2 linked regions of the Arabidopsis thaliana genome follow. The protein of the gene in region 2 interacts with the protein of the main gene of each other region in a pairwise test. Each region holds a gene or a part of one and is shown on either strand. Other genes may lie near its edges. The genes, in order: AT3G12470 and LUL3.

Evidence for each region.
Region 1: the proteins of LUL3 (region 2) and AT3G12470 interact in a two-hybrid assay, tested with the Arabidopsis thaliana proteins (one large-scale study listed by BioGRID).

The regions. Positions count from the first base shown.
Region 1 is NC_003074.8:3,955,309-3,958,969, forward strand, and holds AT3G12470 (Polynucleotidyl transferase, ribonuclease H-like superfamily protein), read right to left. Parts: upstream 1,520-3,661; 5' UTR 1,478-1,519; coding exon 815-1,477; 3' UTR 653-814; downstream 1-652. Other genes in the region: AT3G12460 (Polynucleotidyl transferase, ribonuclease H-like superfamily protein), read right to left, coding at 1-115; NF-YC11 (nuclear factor Y, subunit C11), read left to right, coding at 2,757-2,789, 3,527-3,599.
Region 2 is NC_003076.8:6,376,376-6,381,275, reverse strand, and holds LUL3 (RING/U-box superfamily protein), read right to left. Parts: upstream 3,128-4,900; 5' UTR 2,877-3,127; coding exon 2,359-2,876; intron 1,857-2,358; coding exon 1,358-1,856; intron 1,109-1,357; coding exon 989-1,108; 3' UTR 671-988; downstream 1-670. Other genes in the region: AT5G19070 (SNARE associated Golgi protein family), read right to left, coding at 3,806-4,008, 4,100-4,130, 4,211-4,303, 4,397-4,513, 4,593-4,679, 4,805-4,900. UniProt on the Arabidopsis thaliana protein: Acts as an E3 ubiquitin-protein ligase, or as part of E3 complex, which accepts ubiquitin from specific E2 ubiquitin-conjugating enzymes and then transfers it to substrates (in vitro).

The sequences.
Region 1 (3,661 bases), on a different chromosome or scaffold from region 2:
GGCCGATGACGGAAGGATCCGGCGTTACGGTGACGAAAAGCTCTTCTCCAAAGAAATCGACTGAGTACCTTTGCTGAGTAGCGTAAGATCCGATGGTTCTGATTGTCGGAGCCATTGATTTTGCCTTCAGTTTTTCAAGCAGAGATAATGATGAAACTGCTTTCTTCTCCTTTTGCAATCGTCGGAGGCTAGTTAAATTGTAGTACTGGTGCTCGCTATCACCATTGATCTTTTTGAAAATAAATGCAGTTAAATTTGGACGGTTGAGATGCAGTGTGACGTCATTAACCTACGCCAAACCTTAATGGTTATTACTGATTTGAATTCAAAAAGAATTTCTTATAAAGATCTCGAAATTTGAATTATGGAGAATATTTTGAGTATAGTTTATCAGATTACGTTAGCTAATGTTATATACTCCTAAAAATTAGTATTATCCTAAATCAAGATTAGGATTGATAAACGCATCTCAGTTGTAAACTCGTATCCTTGATCTTGCTTGAGGTTATATCCAGTTTAAAAATCGGAAATCATTTAACTGGGTGCAAAAACATTTGATTGACCAATTTGGTACGTCGTGATTTTTTTTGTCCCATGTCAAATTAAACAAAATTGATAATATAATTCATCAAAGCGTATTTGTTTTTAATCAAAACGTTAGATAGTCTTTTAATATCAATGCCTTTATTACAAACGTAGTCTACATGTACTAATTTTCCAGTCAACATTCATAGTCACAAAATACGATAACATGAAAACTTTCATGAATTAGAAGAAGACGTTGATTGATAAAGAGAGAAGAACAACAACAAATTCAAATCACAAGATTAGCAGCAACTTTTAAGTTCCAGAGACGTTCCTCAACAGCGAGCTTAAAGCAAACATACGACTCAATCGACGCCTGAAGTACCTGATAATGGTTAAGGTTATAAACGCCCCAATCGCTCATACAAATCGCCGGATCTAACCTCACTCCTACGCGACCCAAACGCTCCTTCACGATCTGTTCAAACGAACAAAAACACATCCTAGCCCCTCTCGAATCTCTCACGAACATCCTTATGTCCAGAAGCTTCCCGATCTCCACTCGATGCCTACATTTCTCGAGTTTTTTCTGGTCTTGGCCGTTCCAAACGCCGACGAAAGTCGTTTTGGGATCGGCAAGGAAAGTGCGGAGGACTTTTGGGAGACCGTAATTGTAACCTAGTTGGATGATGAGACAGCGACTACCGACGCACAACTGGAGAGTTTTTGGTGGTGGATCTGGATCGGAACTATCCGGTCTCCACTGAACACCGATTCCAACGACGAGAGGATGTACCGAGTGATTACGGTTGTAGGAGCGGACGCTACGAATCCAGCGGCGGATAACGGAAGCAGTCGGCGTAACGGTGACGATCAAGTCGTCTCCGAAAAAATCGACAAAGTGTTTTTGGTGAGTACGGAAACTTCTGATTCTTTTGATCGTCGGAGCCATTGATCTGTCTTCTTCTTCCTTTCTCTAAATTTTTGAGCGAGTGTTAGAAAGAGAAGCGGTTTCTTTTTCTTGTTATAGGGTACATTTTTGTTTCTAGTTATAATCACCGTCGATCTTTGTAGTTTTAATCGTACGGTTGACAATGGAGATGCATGTACTGTCACATCGTCAGGCCTATCATAGATGTATACGCAAAACATTTACTAATTACTGTATTTTACGGCTCTGAATTTTTATTTTTATTTCCATAAAGGTTTGATGAAGACATGGAATATAATACTTTTTTACGTACTTCTTTTTACTAAAATAGTTTATTCAGTTATTTGGGGGCTTAATTAGGTAGATAACCATAACCTTTTTTTGTGTGTTTTTTTCACGAACAATGATTCACTGATGTAAAATCATAATTACTGATGAAGTTAACTTTCAACGTATAACGCTATGACGCAATTACTCTTGATATTTTTTCCTATATATTGGTTTGACAAAATTTTGTAACTTTAAATATAACTTCTGAAAAAATAAAAAAGTTGTAAATATAAATTCCACAACATTTTGTTTGGAACTTTGGATACATAGGCCACTTTGTTTTATCACACTTTATAATAAAGGTGGTTTCTGTTTTTTTTTTCTAAAATTCGACAGTTTGGTTTATAAGTATCTAAATTCAACTTGAAGACAAATAATTCTAACTTTATTTTATTTAAATTGTGATAAAAAAAAGTAACCCAAAACATATTTTTTGGTTCAGGCATATGTGTTACAACTTACAAGGATGCATTATCCTCAAACAAAATCCAATAAATAAAAAATAGAGAAGGTGGATGAAGATCTAAGAATTAATACTGTCACGAGAAAACGTATACAATCCACTAATACATAGCCACGTGTATGGTTAGATCTTTTCAAACAATCCGATTATATTTTGTGCTCCGCCGTATATTTATAACTAACATTACTTAATTAAATAACCATGTCGTCGACCCATTTTTTTTCTTTGACCCAAAACTTTAATTTGATTATATATATTTAATTTTAATTTTTCCATCGCACGGAGATTGTAACAAGGAAACCGCCGTCGCCGGATCTGATAGTGCATATCCATGAAGTAGAAGACGAAGAAACTTACTTTCTGATCTTAGAACGGAGTATATGTACAGAAGATTCGCGTCCCTCAATTTTTGATCTCAAGGGTCGGGTTTACCTTTTTTTCCTTCTTATTTTTGGTGGCTTTGCGTTTTCTCATTCGACGATTTCTGGATTTGGGGATTTCAAAACCATGAGGAAGAAGCTCGATACTCGGTTCCCAGCTGTAAGTTTTTCGTCTCTAATTGATCATTTCTGAAATTGAAGTCCAATTTCTCGGAAATTACTTTGATCTGTTGTTTTTCAGATCGAATTTCCAACACTATTTGGGATTAGATTAGTGTTCTACGATGAAAATTAGATTAAGTATCTCATTTCTGGCGAATTAGTTTTAGCAAATGACCTAGTAGTCAATTTCACCCTAATTTTTGTTGTGCTTGTTATATAGCTATAGTAATATGTGTTATGAAGATCCGCTATGGAATGTTTCATGTAAATTAGAGAATTCGAGAATTTAGGTGACTAGTGCTCGAAACGTGTTCTTTATCAACAAACCAGTCAGCTATTGGTTAGATAGTGTTGATTGAAGCAGGGATGTTATACACGAATTGTTTTTTCATAGGCTTGGAACTTTTTGTAGAGCTTCCAATTTGGCTAGCTAGATTTTGTTTAGCTTTATTGAATAAAACGTCAGATGATTTCATAAGTTGGTTATTGTTGATGGTGGTTTATTTTGTTTGAGCTGAGGCTAGAATATTAGTTTTTCACAGATTTTGACTTTCCATTTAATTTGTTAATATATTTTTGTTTGTATAATCTGATTGGTGATTGTACAGAGCGTGCTTGGTGTTTCTCAGTTCTACCATTTGCTTTATAATTCGTTTAGTAGTCTGTAATTATTGCCACACACACTGTGTGATGGTTGCTGTTTCTTCATTTGATGCATATATTACAATTTTTCAGGCTCGTATTAAAAAGATTATGCAAGCTGATGAGGATGTTGGCAAGATAGCTTTGGCAGTGCCTGTCTTAGTCTGTAAGTCATCTTGCTATCATTGACTTCAGTTTGAAAAGAGAATTATTGGAAACTTTACCCTT
Region 2 (4,900 bases):
TTTTGATTAAACATCATGGTATGACTAGTAAACATTGTCATAGGCAGAAAGGGAAAAGTATCACTTCAAATTCATTATATAGTCCAAAACAAGACAAAGACAATCACACATAGACCCTAGGGGTTTCATAGTTCATAGATATGATACCACATGGAATCATAATGTGTATGGAGAAATAATATTGCTTGTAAAGAGAGTCACTTCACTACTATCAAACAAAGACTTTTTTTTATTCCTCATTTCAAAAGTTTGAGCATTCTGTCAAAAAGAATGAACTCAAGCTTCACTTTTTTTTTAAAACTTTTTTCTTTCTCAGGCTTAACTTCAATAGGAAACATTCTCCATCTCCTACCAGCTTTTCCTTTTATTTGAGCCTTTTTTACAGACAAAAAGCAAAAAGGAGAGAAGAAAAAAAGATTACTTCTTTGAATGTTCTCATCAACTTCAGTTCCCATCTCTCTTTATTTTCTTTTGAATCTTTGTAATTATCAAGGTCCCCATTTTCTCATCTACACAAACTTTTACTTTCTCAAAAAGAAAGAGTTAAAAGAAAGCCAAATTAGGGACACATAGAGCTATCCAAGACTCTTGCAGATTTTTCCTGTCTATTTTTGATATAGAATTGTGGTTACTAGGAGGTTCGGTTTCTAGATTATAAACCCGAAACGTTACGATAAACAACATATGATTGCAAGTTATATTTGAGCAATGCCCAAACCAAAAAGTATTCAGTTACAGAATGAGTGTTTCAAGTAGAAAGATACAAAGAGAAAGTTTCTCAAGAACCATTGGAGCTATATATACATTACTGACTTTTTTTTCTTTGAGTTTCCCAAAACTAAGACCAACAAATATGTGCAAGAGTATGACATGAGAAAACACATTTGTATAAGAAAAAAGGGCAAAAGAATTCGATTTGACGGTTTTCAAAAAGAAGAAGAAGAAAGAATCAAACATGGTGTTTAAGTGAAGGGAAGAAACCTCTTTTTCAGTGTTGTTCATCACTACTTTCCACTTTAATCTTTACAAGCTCATGGATAGGTTGTCTACAAATGGGACATTTGTTTGTCTGAAACCTCAGTTCTTCTGCGCAATCACTGCACAAACACTGCAACAGACAACACAACATGATTTAGTCTTGATGACAATTCAACCAAAAAGTTATGGTCTTGTGAAAGACTTGATGTAGATTTGCTTTAGAGACAATCAACAGCAATATGAAGCAAGTCTAAAATGACAGAATTTGCTTGTTCCATAACTGAAACGCTACCAACGATTTATAGGTTTACCGAGTAAATGAAAAAAATTGCGTTTAGAAGAATTGAAGAAAGCAAAGAGAATTGCTAGAAGTTTGTACCAAATGTCTACAAGGCATGACGGCTGTGTCCTTAGGTTCAGTCAAGCAAATGACACATTCTTTGCCACCAGTATCCTCTAACCCCGATGCAGCAGTACCTTGTGTGATTGAATTATCGATTCCATACAACTCTTGTAGTTCATATCGTTCTCCTTCAATCCATAGAATCTGTTTCATGACTTTCACTTTGAAAGATCCATCATTAGTCTTCTCCAAAACCGCTTGAGTGATCTGCTTATGAACTAATGGTTCCTCTGAAACCGAGCTTGGTGATATTACTGTCTCGGCTGATATTACAAGTGGGTACACCTCTTCTGGTGATGGTTTCGATAGATCATCCAGTGAAAAGAAGCCTAGGTCGATTCCTGTCCCTGGAGCTTGTAGAAACTTCTGCCCGGCACCTTTTTGGAAAGGGACTTTGATTGGTGGGAAAGCTTCTGGTAAATGAGGGACGATTGTGCACTTTGATTCCTCTTCTCCAAAAAATATGATAGTGAAACTGAAAATGAGACAAGTAACATAATGAGACTCCTCGTCAGATAATCTTAATACCTAAACTTGGTATGCAACACAGGAGAGTAATAAGGTTGATTCAGTTGCTAACTAGCTTAGTAGTTCCGAACCATTAAATGAACTACAATAACTCCTAAAATCAATCAGTTATGTAACTGAAGCCTGTATTGTTTGGTTTCTGAACCAATCACATATTCATCACCTAGATCATGTCAAATTTTAACCTTTTTCATCCCAAATTGTGGCAACACATAATTCAGAACTGAAACATGAGTAAAGATGTTTCCTTTTAATCAATCTCGTCCCAGCAAAAACCCTAACTTTCACTGAATAAATGAGTCATATCATGTAAAGTTTGAACCTTTACGATCCAAATTTGAGATTCAGTATAATCTACAAGACCCCTCTACGCTAATTAGCCAATCTCATTCAAATTCTGGTTCTAAAGTCGGAAACTTGACTCAAATTTTGGAGTGAAGAAGTTATACCTGCCATCGAATAAGGCATCGAAGACGAAGGAAACAAGATAATGACCAGGGTTAAGATCGTCAGCTACGAGCCTCACCGTAGCTTTATTCACATTGACATCGTTCTTAACCTTCTTAGCGGTCTGATGCTCCACATAAGGTGCAGGCGGTTCCATAACCGCAACCGGAGTCGGACCGAAATAAACCGGCCTCATCATCGGATTAAACCCATTGTGATGATAACCGGTGAAATACGGAGGAGCTTGTTGCGGGTAGTATTGGTTTTGATGGTAGTTTTGACCGTACGGTCGGTAACTAATCTGCGACGGAGGAGGCTGAGAAGAAGACGGTGGCTGAGCCGGTGGTGGAGGAAGAGAGAGCTGTGGAGTTGAAACGGGGTAATTGTGAGAGTAGCTATACCCGTTTTGAGGCGGCGGTTGTTGTGGTGGAGGATCGGAGTAATAGTACGGCGGATTGTGGTGGGGATGGTGGTGGTTGTTGTTGTTGTCTCGTCGACGCTTGCTTAAGGAGATCCCCATAGCCTCTGAAGAAACGAGACAAGAGAGACAGAGAGACGAAAGTCAGATCAAAAGATTTGTCTTCCGGTGAAGATTATTATTTACATTATTTTTACTTTACGCAGTTACTGCCAGATTTACTGCAATTTTTGTAATAAAAGTCAACGCGTGTAACTTTTTTTTTAATCGGATGTTCCCGAAGACATGACCGTCTAACGAAAGAGACAAGACCGTTTCTTCTTGTTCAAATCTAGAAAACACACATACATGACGTTTTTCGAATAGCATTATTGATAGAGAAAAACTATGAAAAATCAACTAATACCTTATGAATTTCAAACGTGGTGTTTTATAGTTGACCACATATATCAACAAGTTCTTAACTTTGAATATTATGTTAGTAAATTATATTCAGATCATTTATAAAAGTTTACAAGTTTTCATCTTAATTTTGGTTTTCTTCCAATTATGTTATTAAGATGAGATTTTAAATAGTCCAAAATAGTTGAGCCAATATCATAAAAGCTAATTTTGGTTATGAATATACCCATATATTCAATTGATGGGTTCAATTTATGCATAACAGATTCTGTGTATAATAAATATACCTTTAGTCGTATTCAACAATCTTCATTGAATATTGGTTTAGGAGATTTTTAAGATACCTGTAACATTTTTAGGTCATAGATATGTTTAGAATGCTTGTGAATGTCAACAAAATATCTGATTAGCTGGAGCAATTAGAAACTCAAACCAAAATCCATTTAGTTTCTTTTTATTCATCCAATATTTTAAATCTCTGTGAACTAATAATTACATCTCAAAGTTACTAAGAAAAATAACTTTTTAAAAATAATTTTTAATCTATGTTATTATTATACAAACCAAGAAAACTAAGCTTTGTATGTTAAAATAAAGATTATACAAAGTAAGTATTCATCATCTTAATTTTAATGACTATGGTTTACTTGGTCTTGAGGTTGTTGTGCATCTATCTTTATCAAGAGAGGCTCATTTAAATCCGTCGAAGCATCATCAGTAACGGTCAGCTCCGGCAAGGCTGCAACCGCTTCGTTCATGTCTCCTCCGTGCTCTGCTAAAGCTTTTCTTAGAGCGTCCTTCGCCACCTTTGTAACACACACCATTAATATCACTGCAAAGAAACAGATAGAAGAAGGAACTTGTAACATTAGTGATTCTGCCGCAATCGAAGGAACTAGTAACATTAGTTATGCCGAACTAACCGGATATTACAAGGCTCGAAATCAAGAACGCCTGCAGATTGCGGAAAACAGGTCAGAATAGAGATTGAAACAAGAAGCTGAGAATGTAATTAAAATTTGTGTAGATCTTACCCAGCGACCTGGCGAGAACTCGCTCCACTTGTGAGTTACATCAGAAAGGTCTTTTAGAGTTGTTCCAACATACACTAACGCAAGTGTTATTGGCTGCAAATTAACAATGTATCAAGCTGTATTATTTCCATCTTACAATTTAAACATTTTGCAGTCGTTATGAAGTGGTGGATTAGAATAGATTACCATCATCCCTAACCACGAAGAAAGCAAGTATGGACCTAGCCGAATTGGCGTGACAGATAAGAGGTAGTTCAACATGCTGAACGGAAGAAGAGGAGCAAGCCGGAGCAACAAGCATATCTATATTCAGTTTTGCATATTCATAAGTTTCAAAAGAAGAGTGTCAGCACAAAACTTGTAATGGGTTCTCAGTGCAAACCTTGAAGCCGGATTTCTCTATCGCGAGTGCCACTGATTGAAACTGAGGATAATCCTTTAATTTTGCAACTACAAAAGGTTTTCCAATCTGCATAAGAGCATTTTCATGTAAGTACCAAAATATCAAAAAAGGATAGCGTCAGTGGTTTATGCATGTCACTTCATTAATCTAATGGTTGTGTCTGCAAATCAATAAGAATTTGAGTGGCTTACCGTACGGCCTAGTAGAAATGCAGCTCCTGAGCCAAGTGTAGCACCGACTGAGTCCGCCACAAAACCAATTGGCAGCCCAAAAAGGTAGCCACCACC